Linked DNA regions of Astyanax mexicanus. Each later gene encodes a partner of the first gene's protein in a complex. Links are inferred from orthologs where the notes say so. Each region holds a gene or a part of one and is shown on either strand. Other genes may lie near its edges.

Region 1 (10,805 bases):
CGTTTGATGAAATAGTGCTGGATAAAAAGAAGGACGTCCTCATTGAGTTCTACGCACCGTGGTGTGGTCACTGTAAGAAATTGGAGCCTGATTACCTCGCTCTTGCAAAGAAATATAAGAATGAGAAGAATCTTGTGATCGCCAAAATGGACGCTACTGCCAACGATGTGCCCCACGACAGCTATAAAGTTGAGGGATTCCCCACTATATACTTTGCTCCCAGCAACAACAAGCAGAATCCCATCAAATTTGAAGGTGGTGAAAGGAATGTTGAGGGCTTTAGCAAATTCATCGAGGAACATGCAACAAAATTATTACAAACAAGAGATGAACTCTAGAGGGTTTTTGGAGAAACCATGAACTTTAACACATTCCGATGCAGGAAGTATTCTGATACGCAGACTGTGGCAGTCTGGAGTAATTTTGTTGTAACCAGTGTTCCTGAATGCAGAATCCTTCTTTTTTTCATTCCAAAGTTCGCACTGTTTATTAGGTTTCTTTCAAAATCTTTTTAAATAAAAGTGTAAATTGGAAAAATGTTTGTTTCCTACTCTCGGTTCAATTATATTGTTTTACTTAGAAATAGAAATAAGCCGTAAGACTTATCGTTCTGGTTCATGTGGTGGAAACCTTATCTTCAGGGATTAGCATCAAACAATATGTTATTTTAACCTTTTATTAATTTGACTGATCAAAACCAGGAAAATTTGGTTTCCCTCCAATATCCTGTCCATGTATAGTAATAGTTATTGTTATTTATGGTCTCAGATATAGTTGATCAGCCCATATGGGTTTGGTATTTGATGTGAGCTTCCTTATAAAAGGCCAATATTGTTAAAGGTTTTGTATAGAATGGCACTAATCACACTTCAGTCTTACTGTGCATCAACAATTATACCACAGTTCTATTATTGCTGTTTATTGAAATGTTTTGAGTTAAAGAGGATGAGAAAATATGTTACATGGAGACCCTCGGTCACATTGCATTACAGACTAAAAACTGCACTCATAGAACGCCTCTCAGCCAATCCCATTGCAGGGTCAGAACTAACTGGTTTAATAGTTACTAATAATTGTCATGCCAAACATTTTGGTAAATATACATTGGAAAATATTGTTTGCTATACAAACCCTTTAAAAGCTATGCAAGTAAGCTACCAAAGGTATTTTGTAGGTTAATAAAATGATTTACCAAAAAAAAAGCACTAATAGACCAAGTAAATGTTTAAACTGGAACAGTTATTCAATGGCTGTCTGTCTCAGCTGTTCAGCTCACCAGAGAACTTAATTTTGTAAAGTAAGTCATAGCCTGTTCAAACCACATCAGTTTGTCTTCATCAAATAAATAAAGCTGTGGATGTGTTTTTTAAATAGGGTAAGAATGAGCATCTACCCTTTATGAGCATATAAACAGCTTCACCGTGCTGGTTGACCAGCATCACCAAGCATTACTAAAATAAAATGCAACATACACTATGCTGTTCAAGAGCAGGTTAACCAGCTAGCTCGCCACATAGTGCATGTTTTCACCTTGGTGATCTGCTTTTCAACCACATTGACCATTGAGGGAGAGATTAGACCTTCTGAAACCAGCTACCACCACAAGCTGGATTTTTCAACTGGGTATAATTTATGGGAAAAGTGGACTTTTAATTAGTAACAAAAGCTTTAGTGTATTAAGGGTGGGGACTCTATGTACAGGCCACTTCATAAGTGCAAAATTAGACTCCTGTTTTGCACTTCTTCTAACTGATAATATTATTGGAAATACCTACATAGTACTACTTTAATAGATACAGTGATGTTTCTGTAAGGTTGATATTTGGTCCCACACATAATTTCCAGTACTATACAGAGAAGCGGCTTTCTGGAAAGAGACCAACCATTGATGAAGGACTAGAGGACAGCTAACTTCCAACTGCATAAATCGATGGGCTACAGTCTGCAAGGGAGTGTAATGGCCATGTACGTCAACACATGCCAATTTATTGGTCTAAGCTCTACATGGTCAAAATACGGCCATTCAGGCAAAACATACCCTATACTAATAAGCATGCTGGTTTACCAGAATAGCAATTTGAACTAAATCTTCCACAATAGGTGTCTATAGAATAGAATACAACCCCTGGCAAAAAGTATGGAATCACCAGTCTTGGATGAGCACTCCTTCAGACATTTCATTCTGTAAAACAAACTCTGATCAAAAACATGATACAATAATAAGGTCATTCCAAAGTGCAACTTGTTGGCTTTCAGTAACACTCAAAGAAATGAAGAAAAAACATTGTGGAAGTCAGTGAATGTTACTTTTATTGACCAACCACAGGGAAAAAAATATGGAATCACTCAATTCTGAGGAAAAAAGTATGGAATCACTCAAATTGAAGGTAGAAAATAAGGACACACCCAGTCAATTTCCTTTCCCTAAATGGACACCTGCCTCAGATTAGATCTGCTCGTTAGTCTGCAGTTAAAAACACCTGCAGTCATGACACCTTGGAGGGCTGCTGGACGAATTAGAGTGGCAAGAACCATGGCTCCAACAAGAGAAATGTCTCTTGAAACAAAAGAGAGGATTGTGAAACTTCTTGAAGAAGGTAACTCTTCACGCATGGTTGCTAAAGATGTGGGCTGTTCACAGTCAGCTGTATCCAAGATATGGACCAAATACAAACAGCATGGAATGGTTGTTAAAGCCAAGCGTACTGGTAGACCGAGAAAGACATCAAAGCGTCAAGACAAGCAACTTAAGGCCATTTGTCTTGAAAACCGAAAAAGTACAACTAAACAGATGAAGCATAAATGGGAAGAAGCTGGAGCCAATGTATGTGACCGAACCGTAAGAAATCGCCTAAAGGAAATGGGATTTCAATACAGGAAAGCTAAAAGAAAACCATCATTGACACCTAAACATAAAAGAACAAGACTGCAGTGGGCTAAGGAGAGGCAATCATGGACTGTGGATGACTGGATGAAAGTTATCTTCAGTGATGAGTCAAGAATCTGCATTGGACAAGGTGATGATGTTGGAACTTTTGTTTGGTGCCGTTCCAGTGAGCTTTATGAAGAGGCCTGCCTGAAGAAAACAACCAAATTTCCACAGTCCTTGATGATATGGGGCTGCATATCAGGCAAAGGCACTGGGGAGATGACTGTGGTTAATTCTTCTATCAATGCACAAGTTTACATTGACATTTTGGACAGTTTTCTCATCCCTTCAATTGAACAGATGTTTGGAGATAATGAAATAATTTTCCAAGATGACAATGCATCGTGCCATAGGGCAAAAACAGTGAAGGCATTCCTTGGAGAAAGACACATTCAGTCGATGTCATGGCCTGCAAATAGTCCAGATCTCAACCCAATTGAAAACCTGTGGTGGAAATTGAAAAAAATGGTCCACAAGAAGGCTCCGACCTGCAAAGCTGATCTGGCAACTGCTATCAAAGAGAGTTGGCACCAAATTGATGCAGAATACTGTTTGTCACTCATCAAGTCCATGCCTCAGAGACTGAAAGCCGTTATAAAAGCCAAAGGTGGTGCAACTAAATACTAGTGATGTATTTTGAATCATCTTTTGTTTATCTGTTTTTCATGATTCCATACTTTTTTCCTCAGAGTTGAGTGATTCCATATTTTTTTCCCTGTGGTTGGTCAATAAAAGTAACATTCACTGACTTCCACAATGTTTTTTCTTCATTTCTTTGAGTGTTCCTGAAAGCCAACAAGTTGCACTTTGGAATGACCTTATTATTGTATCATGTTTTTGATCAGAGTTCGTTTTACAGAATGAAATGTCTGAAGGAGTGCTCATCCAAGACTGGTGATTCCATACTTTTTGCCAGGGGTTGTAGAATAGAATTCTGTAAAAGAACTTGCTTAGGTTGTACAATTTTTAATAAAGGGATTATTGTGCTGTATATTTTACTAAATACAGAAGATTGTATAATTTGTGCAACTGCATATGAGATTACTGGTCTTTGTAAAGTAAATCCACAGCTAACCAGTGAATTTAGAATATACATATAAATTACCACCACGTGCTTTCGCAGGTTTGATGTGGAAGTTTTGAAAGCTGACAGCTCGGTCAGGCGGGACAGGCACATTTTGCATTGCATGTGGACGTCATTGCCTCGTTATTCCACGCACGAGCATACGCGCCAATGTTTTTTTTTAATTCAGGCGATTGTTTTTTTTTCCCAGCATTTTATTTTTACTCAGTAACGGGGAGTTTCCCACTATAGCAAAGTAAATTACTTGTGTCAAAATGAACTTAAGTAAAAGTAAAATTACCTATTTTAAAAACTACTTTAAAAATGACAAATTACTCATAAAATCTACTCAATTACAGTAACGTGAGTAAATGTAATTTGTTACTTTCCACCTCTGGTCATGTGACATCACGTTCAGTAGCTCCTCCATTTCCACTCGCTGTTGTGTTTATGTGGTTCTCTGTGGAAACGCACACCCAAAGGCATAGCAGGACCAAGGAGTTCAGCAGAAAACACTAGGTAATTCAGCCTGTAATTTTCTTATAGGACGTCTGAGAAAAACACATACATGGTACCCCAGGACCCCCTGAGAAACTAATCCTTTTAAGATATGGCTCTAGTGAATGAACCCCCCCCCCCCCCCCCTATCCCCCAAGCGGTAGAAAAGGGCTTCCATTCTCAGCTATGTTGATTACACTTATAAAAGCTGTATTTAAATATTTATTACAGATTTATTGACTTGTTGCTCTTAAATGATTTGACTACATCTCTGATTAACCATATAGTTTTTTAAATATACCTTAAGCAATTAAATTTGAACTGGATCTTCCACAATTAAGCCAAAAACACACTAAAAGGGGAGAGGAAAGGCTGCAGTTGGCCAGGACTCGTAATTGTGGGTTACCACAGTGGGGAATAACGGTTCTGTGGGGAGAAGGCTGGATGGTTTTCCCTCCTAAACAAAGCTGATAATCCCCATAAAATGGCTTTATGGAACTCTGACGTATCACAACGTATCAGGTGGGCGTGGCTTGGCGAACCGGCTGACCCAAGTTCAGTGGGTCCAGTAGAAATATTTGGGGATAAAAAAAATTGACCTTGTGTTTATATTGATACTATACAAACAACAGAAGTGCAGACTTAAGTTTAGAATCACAATAAAGCTGAAGCACCAACTAACATAACCTACATGCTTATCTGTTTAAAAAAGAGAGAAAAAAACAGTGTATGCACGGCAAAGGCAACGTGCATAATTATATATAAAACTAATATACTATCGTTTCTATTCTATAGTATAATGAAATACTATAATCATTATAATAATGCACTATAATTTGTGGATGATATAAGCGATATATCGGCATTACAGTAATCATGCGCTGCGACAGGCAGCTCCAGGCCCCTCGTGCTGCAGGTGGAGGATGAGAAGAACAGATCTGAAGCAGATCTCTCGCTTTGAAGCTGTAAAAAGTGAGTGTTTGTTAAAAATGAAGAACAAAGAGAGTTTCTCCACATGTTCCCCACTTCGGGCCCCGCCGCACAACCGCTTGCTATTGGACGCGGCGCGCGTTCGTGCTGGCCAATGAGCGCCCGCGTCTGTGGGGAGCTTGAGTGCGGCTGCCCGCGATTGGCTGCGGGGTTTGGCGGTCGGCGGTTGTGCAGTAGGCGGAGAGAGGAGCGCGGAGAGCGGGCAGAGTTAGAGCGGGAATACCGGCGATTATTGAACACAAAGCGGAGCTGGGTGAAGCAGAGAGCGGCTCCAACCGCGAGTCTTAGGTGTGAGGAGATCAGACTGGAGCGGAGGAGGCGGGAAGAAGCGACCAGGCTCTGTTTGAAGCCCGAGTTCGTTCACCGGTGTCGGAAAAAGGAGAGAAAGAAAGAAAGAAAGCGCCTCCCTCCCTCTGTTCAGTGAGAGCTGTTAGCGGGGTTAGCACTAGCCTTAGCTTAGCTTTAGCTTTTCTCTGCTCTGCTCCAGGCTGCTCCGCTTTTCTGACCGAAAACAAACAGAGAAAAATCACTGTGTTTAATGTGGACTGGACTCCTGCAGGTAGGTCATCACAACACACAGCACCGGTCACTAAACACGCTGTTCTCGAGCTGTCTGTGGGCTGTGTGGAGGCTAAGCTAACGACAAGTGTTGAAGAGGAGCTGGTGAAGAACTCTCTTATATACATACAGCTCTGGAAAAAAAATGAGACCACTTCAGTTTCTGAATCAGTTTCTCTGATTTTACTACTTATAGGTGTATGTTTGAGTAAAATGAGCATTGTTGTTTTATTCTATAATCTGATGTGAATTACTCCCAAATTCCACATAAAAAGATTGTCATTTAGAGCATTTATTAAAACTTTATGAATATGAACTTATCTTTGTATTATTTGAGGTCTGAAAGCTCTGTATCGTTTTTGTTATTTCAGCCATTTCTCATTTTCTGTAAGTAAAAGAGAGAAATCAATATTTGGTAGGATAACCCTGGTTTTCATTCACAGTTTTCATGCATCTTGGCTTGTTCTCCTCTACTACTTTATGCCACACCTGGTGCAAAAAGTCGAGCAGTTCAGCTTGTGATCATCCATCTTCTTCTTAATTATATTCCAGAGGTTTTCAATTTGGTACAATCAAAGAAACTAATAATTTTCAAGTGGTCTCTTATTTTTTTCCCCAGAGCTGTATATCCATAGTTAAGTTACTGAATTCACGTGTTTATATTTATAAAGTACGGTTATGATTCAGAGTAAATGATGCTTATTTAGCCCTGGTTAGCTTTATATATTATTATCTAGTGATCTAAACCTAGTTAGAAAATAAAACTGAAAGAAATGACACAGACAACTTGATTGATTTTTTTATTTTGGCTGGTTATTGATCCCTGTTTATAAGTGACAGCAGTCATCTCCACTGAGAGAGTTCTTCTATTCATATAGCAAGTAACATTTATTTATCGGACTGTGTAAAATATTGTGTTCATAAATACAATACAAAATATAGCTAGCTAACACTTGCTTCTCACTCTTGAAACACACATCATTAATTATGGACAAATAATACAAATCTAGGCTTCACATATGTTGCTGATAAAAAAAACAGATTTTATTTTCGGTTAATTCTAGCTAATGTTTTTATGATCTGTACAATTATTCATATATGCTGTTTCTTGATGAATATATTATTTTGCTATAAAAAAAAGTTTTAAAAGACTAGTTTTTATTCAAAGTAACACATGATGCCTTTGAAGTAAAAACAAGGAATAAATATAAACTTAATTCTGTCCAAAGGTTAAAGGCCACATTAGAATGTAAAGAAAATATGAGCCATGTGTTTATCTCAAGTATTGCTTACATCCCAGTTTTTAGTTATCAGAAAATTGCATGGATAGATCTTATGGAGAATATTAGTGTATTTATTTTGCTTTATTTGGGATGTATATTCATATACATGTCCTATAGCTAGGTTAAGTTTGTCCTTCTGTTTCTTACATTTTCCTTTCTCTAAGCTTTTAATGTAGCTAGCTAATTATGTATTGAGCATGTTTTGTTTTATGACTTAACTTACTGAATTCAGTGTTCATGGTTATATTTGCTGAGAAACAAAACAAAAAACTGTAAACTGACAGTGTATAAAGAAAGTGGTTTAAAAATAAGACTGACAGAATTGTCCAGACTGCAGCAGATGATTTGTCCTGTGTTTAGTTGTTTCTTTGGACAGTATACAGGACAACACGCAGAGCATCAGAACACAAATATATGAATCATTGATGAGCAGCTACGGTGTTTCTTGTTTTTTTATGATCTAGGTCTGTTTGTTTTGATAAATGAGAGCTGTTTTGTTCTTGTGTAATTTTCTTATTAATGATATTTAACATTTATTTGGTTTATTCTTAAGACCGCCATGTTGTTGTTTCTTTTGTAATGCTGTTAATGTTTTTTTTTGTTTTGTTTTTTTCCTCTTCTCTTTTTACTTGAATGCAGCAGAAGATGCAGGATAGGATATCAGAGGAGGGAAAATGAATTAATTTGATTTGATCTTGTGACAAATCGATCCTTAAAAAGCACACACTCACACTGTGTGATTTAATTATGTTAGCTTTGTGCCTCTTCCTGTGGGGTAATACAGTGTGTGAGTAGTTTTAGCAATACAGCCCACTTTTATCTTCTCTGGTGTTTCCGCTATGCATATTTGAACTGCTGATTTTAGTCTTAAAAGAACTGCAGAATGAGCTGTGATACAAACCAAAGGTCATGTTCACAGCAGACTGTTCCTCTTATTATTACTCATTTATCTTTATTTGTTCTTATTCAGTCTTTTCAACAACGTTTGTTCATCATATACAAGTGCAGTTACAGTGAATGTTAATTTAAGATTGTACACAGAGTAAGAAGCACTGCCAGTTCTGGCACCCAGCTCATCCTGTTTGTCTGACTCAGTGGTTTTTATTCAGCACTTATGTTAGACTTGCAGATGGCTATTTCTATTTTTGCTGCAACATTTTTCTCTGCTCGTACATGTTCAGATGGAAAGCCTGGACGAACTTGCCCACAAAGCTGTACTTGTGAATTTGTCAGTGTTACTTAACGCCTAGTCAGCGTCTGTCGCATCTACTTTCAACAGGGACAGAGTTGTTCAATATGGTAGATGAAGACATCTATACCAGCGCAGTTCAAGAACATGTGCTTTAGCTTAGTTCTTCATGACTAATTAAGCTTAGTTAGGTTTGGATTATAACTAGCAATTCTGGGCTTTTTTGGAGAGGTTTGGGGATGATTAAATGAGCACAGTGAGACAGGAGCACTGCTGGTTTTAACAATATTAACATTCAGTGTAATATTTAAGGCTTCACCTTAAAAACACACTTTGGTTGAATACTAAACAGGAACTTTCTTCAACACTATGTAAATTTGATAACCTATGTTTGTCAGTGATTTCAGAGAAAAGGCAATCGTAAAACTACAAGTAAAAATATTCAGTACTTTGGCACCAGAAGACCAATTCCTAGTAATGGTACATTTTTCTATCAATTTATACAGTTCCAACTTAAACTGCTTGAGACAGATCGCTTGTCAATATTTGGTCATGTATACATTTAATAGTTATAGGATGGGTATAATTCTAAAACACTGGTTAGCTGCAGTGTTTAAGACATTTCAGTTTGGGTCATTTCCACAATTCATTAATGGTTTACTGAATAACTGAGCGCATACTGACTTAAACTGGTCTGGCAATGTTGGGTTATATGAATTCCTGTCATTCAGAAAAAGCTGTCTAATTTGATCTCCAGAAGATCTAAAAGTTTAGATCAGTAAGTTTTTATTGCTGGTAGAATTTGTCCATGCTTTTTCATCAACGTTTAAAACCTTAAAAAACAATAGTGATTTTATATCACTGTGATGTTCTTTAATATAGTATTATAAAAACCATGAACTACAAATTTCTGTATTGAAAACAGTGTCTCTGTTCGTCACTAATCAAATATGAATGCTGTATGTTCTCATAGGGAAACCATGGGCTTGACTGGGAAGAAAATGGAGAAAGGCCCAGTGTGCTGGAGGAAGAGAGTGAAGTCTGTGTACATGAGGCTACGACAGCTGAAACGCTTCAGGAGAGCTGATGAGGTGAAGGTAAGCATGAAGGACAAAACATACTGATTATACAGCCAAAACACTCATCAGCAACATCCACACCTATTCTTTTGTGCAGTTATCAATTCAGTGAGTCTTGCAACAGCAGTGAAATACAATAAAATCATGTTGTACCTGACCGTCAGCTTCAGATAATGTTCAAATTAGCCATCATAATTTTACTAAAGCCTCTAGAGATTACCTAGAATAGTTTAATAACTACCATACAGCCGTAGCTGAAGACCACAGTGGGTTTCAACTGGGGCTGCAGTGGGGACAGGCTCACCAAAACTGCAGTTTAAGAAAAAAGCATGGTCAAATGAATATCAATTTCTGCCGAGGCACACAGATGGTAGGGTTAGAATTTGGCACTGACTGTGTAAATCCGTGGACCCAACCTGCCTTGTGTCAACAGTCCAGGCTCAAGCTGTTTTTCTGGAAATGTCAGTGAGTTTAGTGTTCTTCAGTGACCTTCCCTGATCTGAACCCAGTTAAATGCCATTGGGATGTGGTAGATAAAGAGATTTTCAGCATGGATTTACTCCTGAAAAATCTGCAGGGATTTTGTTTACACTTGTTTCAACATGGACTAGAATCTTAAAGGACTGTTTCACACATCTTGTGGAATTTAGGTAGATGCCAGTCGTAAAGCAGTTGTTGATGTCTGTCATCAGTGTAGACTGCAATCTTTCACATTTTCAACCTCTTTAACCACATGATGCAACTTTTAAGGTGATTGAATAGTTTAATCTGTGTGTTTATATACCACTCTCCACCTGCTCGCACTACCTCACTACATGCTTATTAATGCAGTGCAATTCTATTATGTTACAGGGAAGAGCTGTTGTGATAGAATAAGTTTAGGTTAATATATATTTCGTATTATTAGTATAACAATAGATAATATTGTATTGTTTTTTGTGATGTTGGTTAATGTGTGCGTTGACTGCTTGCATATTATTGAAGCAGAATGTGTGTTATTTTCTACAGAGCATGTTCAACTCCAACAGACAGAAGATATTGGAGCGCACTGATATTCTGAATCAGGAATGGAAATTGCGGCGAATTCAGCCTGTGCATATCATGACACCTGTGAGCTCCTTACGTGGAACGAGAGAGGTTTGTTCTCCCGGCTTCTAATTCAGTTCCTGCCACTTCACACTGCGCTCTTTGATAAAGACAAATGTCCTCACTGGAT
Region 2 (10,847 bases), on another chromosome or scaffold:
TAAAATGGTTTTGATTTAGATTTCTGCTATTTTTGGCAAGGAGTTAGTAGCCTTGGGCAGACAACAGATATAGAATATCAAAATAATTTAAGCTATTGCCAATACTAAGCGCATTATCGTCCATGCCATAAGTATGTGACTTCTACCGCTGTTCCATTATTTAAACAGCTGAAGCTCAGTGTTATAAAGGAGTTTCAGTTCAGTTCAGACTGTAGCCTGTGTTTACTGTGTTAAAACAAGCTTTGAGGGACAAACCGCTAGCTGAAAGTGCCCTGGCTTACCGGAGCACTCAGGGTTCCTCAGTGTAGCGCTGTCCCAGAGTTTAGATTCTCTGCCCGAATTCGGGTGGGGTCAGGTCGAGATTCCCCACCACTTTCCCCAGGCTGGGTCAGGCTGAAGAAAATGGTCTGTGACATTGGCATCTATTTTTAAATTCTTTTTTTTTATTTTATATAAAGCTATGGCGGGATAATCACAGTATAGTAAAGTAACAAATCATGTAACTTTGTTTTTTAAAAAAGGTTGCATAAGTTAGAAATATTATAAGCTCTGGCCTGCGCAAAGTACACGTGAGCTCCTCCACATTGCGGCATCACGCACTTGACTCGCAGCGCTGTGTGTGTAGTGCATAGCCTCATTTGTTATATGTTTTTGTGCTTTAGCACTGAGGAAATATACTATATAACATATATGCTTAAAATAAACAAAAATGTTTGTTCAGAAAGTGTTTTATATTCTTATTCTTATAACTATATTAGAGTACTAGAAAGTCTTTATAAATGATGTTTCTGTTGTTGGTCTATTTGGGTTTAATAATTGTGCAGTGCATAGCCGTATTACTGATTTTTGTGTTTTTTATGACATATTTGAGTAGCCTAGAATCTTCTAAAAATAACCTCTCGCATGTGTGTCTTCCATAAATTCTTACATTAAACTATTGATACACTGAATGCTCTCTGTCTCTCCTGTCTAAATTGCTAACCCGCCGCTGTGGATTGTGGCTTAATCAATCTTAACCCTCACTTCGTTAAATTTACCTACATTTGGTCAATGGCAGTTGCTAATTTTCCATTCTAGTATATACACTACTTGACACGTCTGATTTTTCTGATTTAACATTAAGCAAATATGGTAGGTATGATCTGGAACTAGGTACATTTACATTTAAGGTATTTAGCAGATGCCCTTATACAGAGCGACTTACAACAGTGCTTCGATGTTACTTCAAATATCCAAAGCTAGTTTGTAGGCTAGGATCAAGAGATACACAAAGCTTGATCATGTTAGAACCCTAGGAACCTTTTTTTATTATTATTAGTTTAGGAACTCTTTAAAAAGACGAGTCTTCAGTCAACGCTTGAAGAGCGCGAGTCACTCTGCTGTTCTGACAACCAGTGGAAGTTCATTCCACCACCTTGGTGCTAGCACAGAAAAGAGTCTGAATGTTTGTTTTTTTGTGGGTTTTGAGGGATGGAGGTTTGAGCCCAGCCATACTGGAAACTCTAAGAGCTCTTGGTGCAGATCTGGCTTTGACCATTGCCATCAGATATGAAGGAGCTGGTCTGTTTTTTGCCTTGTAGGCCAGGGTTAGGGTTTTGAATCGGATGCGGGCGGCAACAGTAAGCCAGTGGAGGGAATGCAGGTACCACTGCAGAAGGTGATCTAAGATGCATTTGGGCAATGTTTTAGCCATTTAAATGCATCAATTACTTAAAGACACATTCAACAGCCAAAACAGAATATTTTACTCATTGCTTTCGTTATGGGGTTGGGCTGGGGCATGCGTGTTAACAAAATGTCCCCAGGAGACCAAATATGGCATCTGTTAAACAATAAGCACAGCTCCTCTTCGTGTTCCCTCACTCTTTCTGCAAGGTGCCTGCTTACCGATACTATCACACATGCAAGCCAACAAAAGGTCTCATCTATATATGTGGAGCACTTTCTCAGGTGACCAAAAAGGTCAACACTGGGTAATTTGATAATTATATACTATATACTATTTATAGTTTAAAAACATCCACTGATGACAGCAGCACAGTTACATAATTATACCTAAGGCTGGGCAATAATTCTACATATTTATCATAATAGAAAATGATAAAAGGAACTTACCCTTTCTAACCAGCACTATTAATTTGTTTTCAAAAATCAAAAATTAATAAACAATTAGTATTATTGCTAACACCTTCAAAGGCTACTGCTGAGTACAAGGGGATTTTCAGTCAGCTGCGCTGCTTAACAGGAGCTGTTAAATCTGATGTAAAATGAGAAGAATTATGCTATACAGTATGCTATGTTGATATTATGCTGAAACTGAAGCCAATGAAAATGGTCAGAAATACAATTGTACATTAAATGCATTTAAGCCAATTTCAGATACAAATATTTCATTTAGAAATTAGGGCAAAACTTGTTTATTAAATGTCTAAGCAGACCATGACTAAAGACCATGGAAGCATTCTTATGAGGGTACATTTTTAATTGCTTTGTTACTGTCAGCCTAATAAAAAAATTAATTAATTAAAAGCTATGATTATGAGATCATCCCCTTTTTCATATATAGTGCATTGATTAATATAGAGATTGCTTATATGCTCATAAACATATTAGAGAAGCTTTAAGGTTTACAGTTATGTTAAAAAAAGAAACAAGGCAAAAGTCATCTGTCCAAAGCATATTTTTGGACTAGGTGTTCTCTGGCAAACTCTCGTACTGTTGTACAAGGATACCTTCTATCAAGAGCTTTCTCAATTTCTACCTCTACCTCTGGAGGAACGTATACCTTTATCAAATTACAGTCAAACATTTATATATACAAACTTTCATATTGTATGAAATGCAAAACACTATCACAAGGTACTAAAACACAATATTGTCAGTTGAGCTTAAACATTATATGCACTAGGACAAAGGTCTAATGTGGGGCCTAAGAGACAGTATGATGTTAAATGTTTAGGAGCACAGTACTTTCTGAATAGAGCGTTGCATGAGAAGCTTGTGAAGTTAAAGAAGTTTCATGAGTAATGGTTTGTTCATGTATCTTGTGTTCAAAACTTTCCTAAAGGTAAGACATGTGAGAATAATGTATAAAGTCTTATCTTTATAGATATCAAAATGTGTTATTAAAGTATACTGATGTGACAAATGACATATGTTGGATACTATTAGTAAAGTGCACAAACGTAGACAAAAACAATTAAAGAGATCAAGAGCTAAAAACACCTGATGAATTTTTACGTATTTATTCTTGTTTTAATCTAAATTCAGTGGAAGCCAATGGATCAAAAACTGAACTGTGTATTTGCTATATTACAAAGGTTACCGTTCCACTGGGCATTTCTGAACAATACCAGTGTTCATTACGACGGGCCAGTGATGTGACCAAAAGGGGTTTTAACTAGGTCCCATCTGGGTTATACACTACATAGCTAAGGACAATTTAGGGCCATGGGATTAAGGTGAAGTGCAATGATGAATCCAGACCACATTACACCCATGTGAGCAAAAATGAGAATATTCAACAAATCTCATTATAATTATAGATATCCAGACTGTAATTTTTTAGAACATGTACAATTGTAAATCTTAATATGTTTAGATATTCTAAATTAGGCCATGTCCATATACTGTACGATAAATCTAATCAACTAATTATCATAATTATGACAGGCCAACACAGTAATTCACTGTAATATCAGTAACCGTATCATTACTTGTAAAAACTCCAACTGTAGAAGTTTAAAAATGTGTGGAGCTGGACTGTTTACTACACACAGTTACAGTATAGTTATATAGGACTACACGTACCACCCGTGATTTAATTCCATGAGAATAATAGACAGAATTACATTAGGGATATGGAAATATGACGAGTCCGAAGGGATGTATAGATCTGTATATCTGATATTCTAATTCTGAAATTAAAATTAGTGATAAAACTGCATTAGTGAGATCTATCATTTGAGATTTTACTCATATAAATTGAGTTCTGACTGAGTGCTGCTGCTGTGATTTTACGATAAAAGAGTAGAGACGTAATGAAGCCCCTAGGTCTGTTTATAACAGTATAACAGGTCTTATATTATCACTGCAGCACACATAGCTGTACCAGCACGCATTGTTTTTCCACAGTTACGGGCAGTGGGGCTGTAGCTGCAGCTGTAGGTGGAGGCAGTAGGCGGACTCTGCTGTTGTACCTCAGGCACTCTGTTCATGATCCTCGATAATAGAGTTACTAACCTGTCCTCAGAGTCCATCCGGCTCAGGGGTTCTCCATCGGAGGAGGAGGACATCTCCACGCTGGCTCTCCTCTTTATCCCGCTGCCGGTTTTGTCCGGACACTCTTCACCTTTACTGCTGGGGCACTCGGCCGGCGAGGACACGCTCTCCTCCTCTCTTTGTTCTTGCTTTAGCTCCCCCGGCACGGCCGCCGAGTTCTCCCCGCTCTCTGAGCTCTTCTGCTCGGGGCATTTCTTCAGCTCCTCCGCTTCAGCCTCACCGCTCGACGGGCTCTCCGCGGACTCGCTAGCCTCGGCCAGGGCTTCTTCTTTGCCTGTCGCTCCGTCGAGCTCGCAGTTCTCGTCCATTTTAACGCTCTCGCCCTCACCCGGTTCCTGATCGGGAGCGCGCAGCAGGCCCTCGCCGCTCTCCTCGCCGTTCTGATCGCCGGCTTTGGCGGAGTCTTGTTCGTTGGCGTCGGTGGTCGCGGCGGAAGCCATCCTCGACGGTGGGAAGTATCTTGGGGGCGTCTAAGTAAGTTTGAGAAGAGCCGAGCGAGTCAAACCGTGAGCATTTGTTCTCCTCAGCAAAGCTACGAGCACACAGCCCGAGAGAGAGGTTGAGCAGGGACGTGCGGGGCGGGGCCAAGAGATGACGTCGCTCTTACTGACTCCACGTGTTTGGACTACTTCAAACAGAACGGGCCTGTTATGGGAAAACGGGCATGTGTAGTTTTAACCATTAGGTTAACATCCGTTTCAGAAATGAAAAAAATAAATTATCCGATCACTGATTTTACGTATAAAATTGGAATACGAACTAATAAAATACTTGCCGCAGTCCGTGTACATTTTGATAGGTTGATTCTTGAACTAAATAGAAAATAGAAGAAGTGACAAAAGACTCGTTTCATCGTTTTTTGTTTGTTGTAAACACACTAAAACAGAAACTGTAGTTCAGTCCGACTTTCCCCTATGTCTTCAAAACTAACATATGGTTCATTATTTTGATGGCGAATCATGGGCGGGCTTAAAGCGCTCTTCCTACCTCATTGGTCAGTATGAGTGATCACGTGCTCTCAGAAGCGTTGTATAGGTAAAAGTCCCAGTAAAACTCTCGGGCGGCAGGAGTAACATACGTGCAGCAATATATCTGATATTTTCTCCAATTCGGTCGAATTAATGCGTGTTTCACTTGTTACCTGTAACTTATTGTACTGGTATTAATGGTATGACTCTCATCTTACAGCACTTGTATATATATATATTTTGTGTCATCAGCGATAAGACTGGTGTCTGGCTCGTGCAACCAAAAGAACAAACACTCCACACAGAGCTGTAATACTCGTTGTCACGGTGTACACTTTGTGATACTATTGCTCGTCTGTTTAGACCGGATTACTATCAGCGTGCATGTAAACTTAGCTTTTCCTCAGATTGTGGAGTACATATACAGTCCTCAGTCAGAGTCTACAACCTAAATTTATTTGACTGGATTTGGAGAAAATATGAGATATATTGCTTCGCGTGTATTACTTCTCCTGCCCGAGATTTTACTGGGACTTTTTTTCCCGAACAACGAGAGAGCACGTGATCACTCAGGCTGACCAATGGGGTATGAAGAGTGCTTAAAGCCCGCCCATGATTCGCGATCAAAATAATTAACCATATGTTCGTTTTGTAGACATAAAGCAGAAACATAAAGTAGGACTGAATTCCTATTTTTTTTCATGTGTTTAAACCAAAAAACAAAGAAACGAGCCTATATTTTATTTCTGCAATTTAAATTGACTGGCCAAAATGTAAAGCGAGAAGTTAAATCCAGCTGAAAATGACATAAGTGATACAGATCGTTACAGATCTATAGTGTGTTTGTGTCATGAATATCAAACGATTAAAATTAACTAATTAATCGCAGTTTGCTGAAATTAATCTTATAATCTGATTTTGATTTCTCCTTCTTAACACTGAAACTTTTAATAAAGGGAAATATAATAATCAATGTAAGATAATCACAGTCTTGTTTTTAAATACAGATTGTATTTTGTGAACTGTGTTCACGTAGCAGTTGAGCTTGGTGTGATACAGCAAAAAACTACTAAAACAGGCAGGACAGTGTTACTACACAACCAAGCTTTAAACACTGTAGCACACTTCACCAGTGTAGCTGAGACCAGTGGTATTAGCGTTAGTGTGTTTAATTAGAGAAATAGATGGTTGTTTTTTATTTAGTTGTGCCAGTATATCATACTAATCATACTTGCTAACCACCTTGGTCATACTCACAGACCAGCTACGCCAATAACTCAAATAATGTCTGCTTGTGTATCTCTTGACTAGCACAGCACATAATGTAAATTGAGTTTCATGGTCTAGCTTGTCTGTCAGTATAACCAGGATGGTTGACCTGTATGATTAATGCTGTTTATCAGGGTATGTTTCTACCAAGATGTGCAGCGTCCCATGACTATCATTTCCATTTTACAGTGGAAATAATTTAATTCTTAAAGAAGGATAATGTTCCAAAACATCTAAATGTTTTAAAAAGGGACCCTATTCACTATCCTTTTAGGGTGTGGTTAATTTTTTCTAGTTTTATAAAGTGTAGTGCATCTTTTACCCAGTGTGTGTAGGAAGGGGGGTATGTTTTTTTTTTTCTTCAAATGTAACAGAATAAGCTGCCTCGCTAAAGCGTCAGAAACGCTACAAAATTTAAATTGGGCACCCCTGATCATTTTTGTGATTTTCCTTTATAAATTGTTGCTTGTTTGGATTAGAAATTGCAGTTAAATATATCTGTGGTCCTGCCAAATCTTAAAGACTCTATCTTGCAGCGAGTGAGGAAATAGTGGGTTCGCACAAAGTGGAGTTAATAGTGGGAGCGACTGTATACCAAAATGACGCCTGAACTGTAGACCTGACAATAATATTATTGCAACTTGGTTTATGTGGCTGTACTAAGAAAATTAGAAAAAAAGCTAATGAGGTGGGAGCTAGGGAAGCAGATTCATGGTATAACCAGGCAGACACAGAGGCTAGCTTATCTAAATGCAACCAATAAACAGTAAGTTGAAAATTAGCAGCCCAATAGTAAAAAATAATGTTGGCCAGTGCCATACCCCCTAAGAGTTTAGGTTTTTGTAGAGTTGACTTCCGAAGCCTCAGGACCTTCTTATTTTAAACAAATTTGTAAATAGTATTGTCAAGGTTAATAAAATAAGATTTAGTAATTAAAAATTGTGATGCATTGTAAAATATATAGAAATCTAAGGAGTATATTCATTTTCATTACATTGATGCACCCTGCTAATCATAGGGGTAGTAATGTCCAATGTTCAGGTCTTGTTTAGTATGTAAAAAAGTTTGAATAAGTTGTATTTAATCAGTTTGTCAAACTTATTTGTTATAAATACCCCTAGATAGGTAAAAGCATGTTAGAAAATCCTGAAGATCAGCCCAGCCATGATGAGGCAATGAGCTACTGGGAAAAGTTCACTTTACAGCGCCCTCCATAATTATTAGCATACCTAGTTAAAATGTGTTAAAAGCCTTAAAATAAATGTCATTTTTATTGCAAAAGCATAATCTCACGGAAAAAATAAAAAAGCAACCTTTAACTCAAGTGAATAAAAAAAAAACCTGTGACACAATTATTGGCATCCCATAACAATTTTTTGGAATGAAATGTATTTAAACAAATTATGTCATTTCTACTGTAGTTTATAAAGTGAATCAAAGTGTGTAGGAACCTTTAATTGGTAAATAATCACTTTGTGTTTCCCTGGGGTGTAAATACAGTATTACAAAAAGGTCTATTTCTCCTACTCATCTGAAACATGGGAAAGACATGAGAACATAACATTCAAGTGTATAGATGTGTGTTGACCTTCATAAAGCAGTCAATGGCTACAAGAAAATAGCCACTCATCTGCAGATGCCCTGATCCACATTCACTGTAAGAGAATTGAATCAAATGGTAGCATGTAGTGTTAAGAGGTCTTCCAAACAACCATCAGGCGCCTTTTACATGCCAACAAGCTGTTTGGAAGGGAAGCAGCACAGAGAAAGCCTTTTTGAGTTATAATCATAAGCGTAAAACAAGCTGTTGTTTACCAAGCTATAGTGGGATTTTAACTGGTACAGTCTGCTTTGGTCAGATGAAACCAAGATAGCGCTTTCTGGTAACAAACACTCAAAATGGGTCTGGAGTAACACTAAGGTTGATTATGCAGGAAAACACTTTATGTCCACTGTTAAGTATGGGGGAGGACGGGTGATGCTGTGGGCCTGTTCCTCCTCTAAAGGACCTGGGGACCTTGTAAGGATACATGAGATCATAAAGTATCAGGATATTTTGAATCAGAATCTGGTGTCCTCTGCCCAAAAGCTGAAGATGGGTCGTCACTGGGTCTTTCAACAAGATAATGACCCTAAACATGTGGCCAATTCTACTCAAAAATGGTTCACAAGGCACAACATCAAGCTCTTGGCCATCTCAGTCCCCAGACCTCAACAAAATAAGAAAAAACTGAAGAGGAGTTTTCTCTTTTTTTTGCATTGTTGTCCTATATTATTTAAAAATATATTCATTAGAATGCAAAAACTGGAGGTGTTGGCCCAGCTTGTTTAGAGTTTGCCACAGCATGTAGTGGAACCAGCTGCAGTGTACCAGAACAGGCTGCTGTACAAACAGCTGATGTTGTACTAACAGCTAAACCATCCTCCTCCAACTTTATCGCCGTTCCCAAACACTATGATGGCTCTCCTGGTGCATGCAACTTTTTATTGCAATACACGCTAAAAGGTAATCACAACACTGCTTACGTGTAAAGCTAAGGAATGGGCTACTGCCCTATGGTCGGCCAACAGTGACATTTACGCTCTAAAGCTTTGTTTTTTGCTCAGTTTAAAGCTGTGTTTGACCACACCCTGCAGCCGGTAAAGAGCTGGGTTTGCAAATGTGTGAGCTTAAACAAGGCACCTATTCTGCAACAAGTTACACCCTTGACTTCCACACTCTTGCCGCAGATAGTGGAAGGACTGAACCAGCTCTGAAAAAAACGTGTTATAGAGGGGATTGCGGGAGGACGTGCAGACGGAGCATGGTTTTAGAGAACAAGAGATGACCCTGAACGTGGCTATTTCCCAGGGCAACTTTCTGCACGGAAAAACGGAAGCTTACAACGGATTTCAGACCTCTCTTCAGCCACCCAAGCCTCACCCCCCTCAGCGAACCGGAGCCAATGCAGATTGGTAGAGCCCGCCTCACTCCTGAGGAGAAGCAAAGTAGGTGCAGGAAACAAATATCAATTTCTGTACGGATTTCCTTGCACTCAGACAAGTTTTCTGTTTTAGTCCTTGCAGCCCAGGATTAACAACCTTTAGGCAAAGGAACTTTCTGTTCAGGTTGGCTATTATTGAATCCCCTGATCACCTTTTAATTTTGTGTTTCAGTTGGTTGGCTCAGCATTTGAAACTAATTTAAAATTCAGTAAAATTCTAAAAAGGAGTGACTACTATTAAAGTCATTGTTTGTCCATACCATGCCTAGGCACTACCGTAGAGAGCCCTAATATGCTTGGCACTTTTTCTGTCCCTAACTGCTATCATGACATCATGGAGGTTTTGTAAAGTACATGCCACTCGTTTACCACCACATGCGATAGAAGGCTGTCTGAGCAACCATGTGCTGCTGGGTCCTTTTTTGTTGAGAAAAAAGATGGTGGTCTTCGCCCATGTATAGACTACCAGGATCTTAATGCTATCCCTGTTAAAAAAAAAACCCTCCCCATTACCCTTAATTCAGTACTAGAAAAACTACAAAATGCACAGTGGTTCACCAAACTCGAAGTGCATATAACTTAATGCACATCAAAGAAGGCAATGAATGGAAGACTGCATTTGTGACCACTAGGGGGCACTATGAATACGGAATAACAAAAACTATGTGAAAACTAAGTGAAAAAAAAACTGTAATTAAAAGAAAAAAACGGTAACTAACTGGATCTGAATTGAGTGTTTATAAAACTAAGCGTGAGGATGAACTGATAAATCTCTCACCCTTTCTTTCTCTCTCTCACTCACACACACTCTAAATCCTGCACTGATATGGTAAAATGTTGTATCTGAATCTAGTGCTGGGTGTCCAATTCCTACTTTATTTCTGAGTTGATAATTTTGGTGAAAATTAGTGGAAACATCAGATTGTTTGTTTCTCAGATTGAGCTTTCTGATATGATGCGTATTTCATGTTCATGTGTGTCTTATTGGCTATTTTAGGCATCACTGTTACATATATTTTGCACGTAAGGCTGTTAGCTTGTGGACTGGTACAGTTTTTGTGGACAGTTGGTTGTTTCACGGTAACTGAATAACTGAAACTATTAAAAACTAGCAAACCCACTCTAAAGAAATTAAAAACTAACTGAATTAGAGAAGAAAATGTGATTTTTTTTTAACTATAATGAAAAATTAAAAACTATTATAACCTTGGTTGACAGATGGGTCATTATATTTATGGATGACATTTTGGTCTACTCCCCTTCCTTTGAGAAACATGATAGCCATGTCAGAGCAGTGCTGCGAAGACTCCTAGACCACCAATTGTCTAAGTGTGAATTTAATGTC

Evidence for each region. The genes of interacting proteins can lie anywhere in the genome.
Region 2: the proteins of ezh2 (region 1) and aebp2 are in contact, whole or in part, in a cryo-EM structure (PDB 8VMI), measured with the Homo sapiens proteins. The link is inferred for Astyanax mexicanus from reciprocal best matches to the Homo sapiens genes EZH2 and AEBP2. Residues at the interface, in NP_001190176.1 of Homo sapiens: Ser76, Leu77, Arg78, Gly79, Thr80, Thr100, Asn102, Ala103, Val104, Ala105, Ser619, Asp620, Val621, Ala622, Ile739, Glu742, Met743, Glu744, Ile745, Pro746; in NP_001107648.1 of Homo sapiens: Lys382, Leu383, Lys384, Asn385, Arg387, Arg388, Ser390, Leu391, Pro392, His395, Asp399, Ala400, Gln401, Asp404, Ala405, Arg407, His408, Ile411, Cys412, Leu415.

The regions. Positions count from the first base shown.
Region 1 is NC_064408.1:92,429,815-92,440,619, forward strand, and holds the start of ezh2 (histone-lysine N-methyltransferase EZH2), read left to right. Parts: upstream 1-5,626; 5' UTR 5,627-6,039; intron 6,040-9,483; 5' UTR 9,484-9,490; coding exon 9,491-9,607; intron 9,608-10,597; coding exon 10,598-10,726; intron 10,727-10,805. Other genes in the region: pdia4 (protein disulfide-isomerase A4), read left to right, coding at 1-338. UniProt on the Homo sapiens protein: Polycomb group (PcG) protein. Catalytic subunit of the PRC2/EED-EZH2 complex, which methylates 'Lys-9' (H3K9me) and 'Lys-27' (H3K27me) of histone H3, leading to transcriptional repression of the affected target gene.
Region 2 is NC_064409.1:30,151,825-30,162,671, forward strand, and holds the start of aebp2 (zinc finger protein AEBP2), read right to left. Parts: upstream 4,878-10,847; 5' UTR 4,722-4,877; coding exon 4,243-4,721; intron 1-4,242. UniProt on the Homo sapiens protein: Acts as an accessory subunit for the core Polycomb repressive complex 2 (PRC2), which mediates histone H3K27 (H3K27me3) trimethylation on chromatin leading to transcriptional repression of the affected target gene.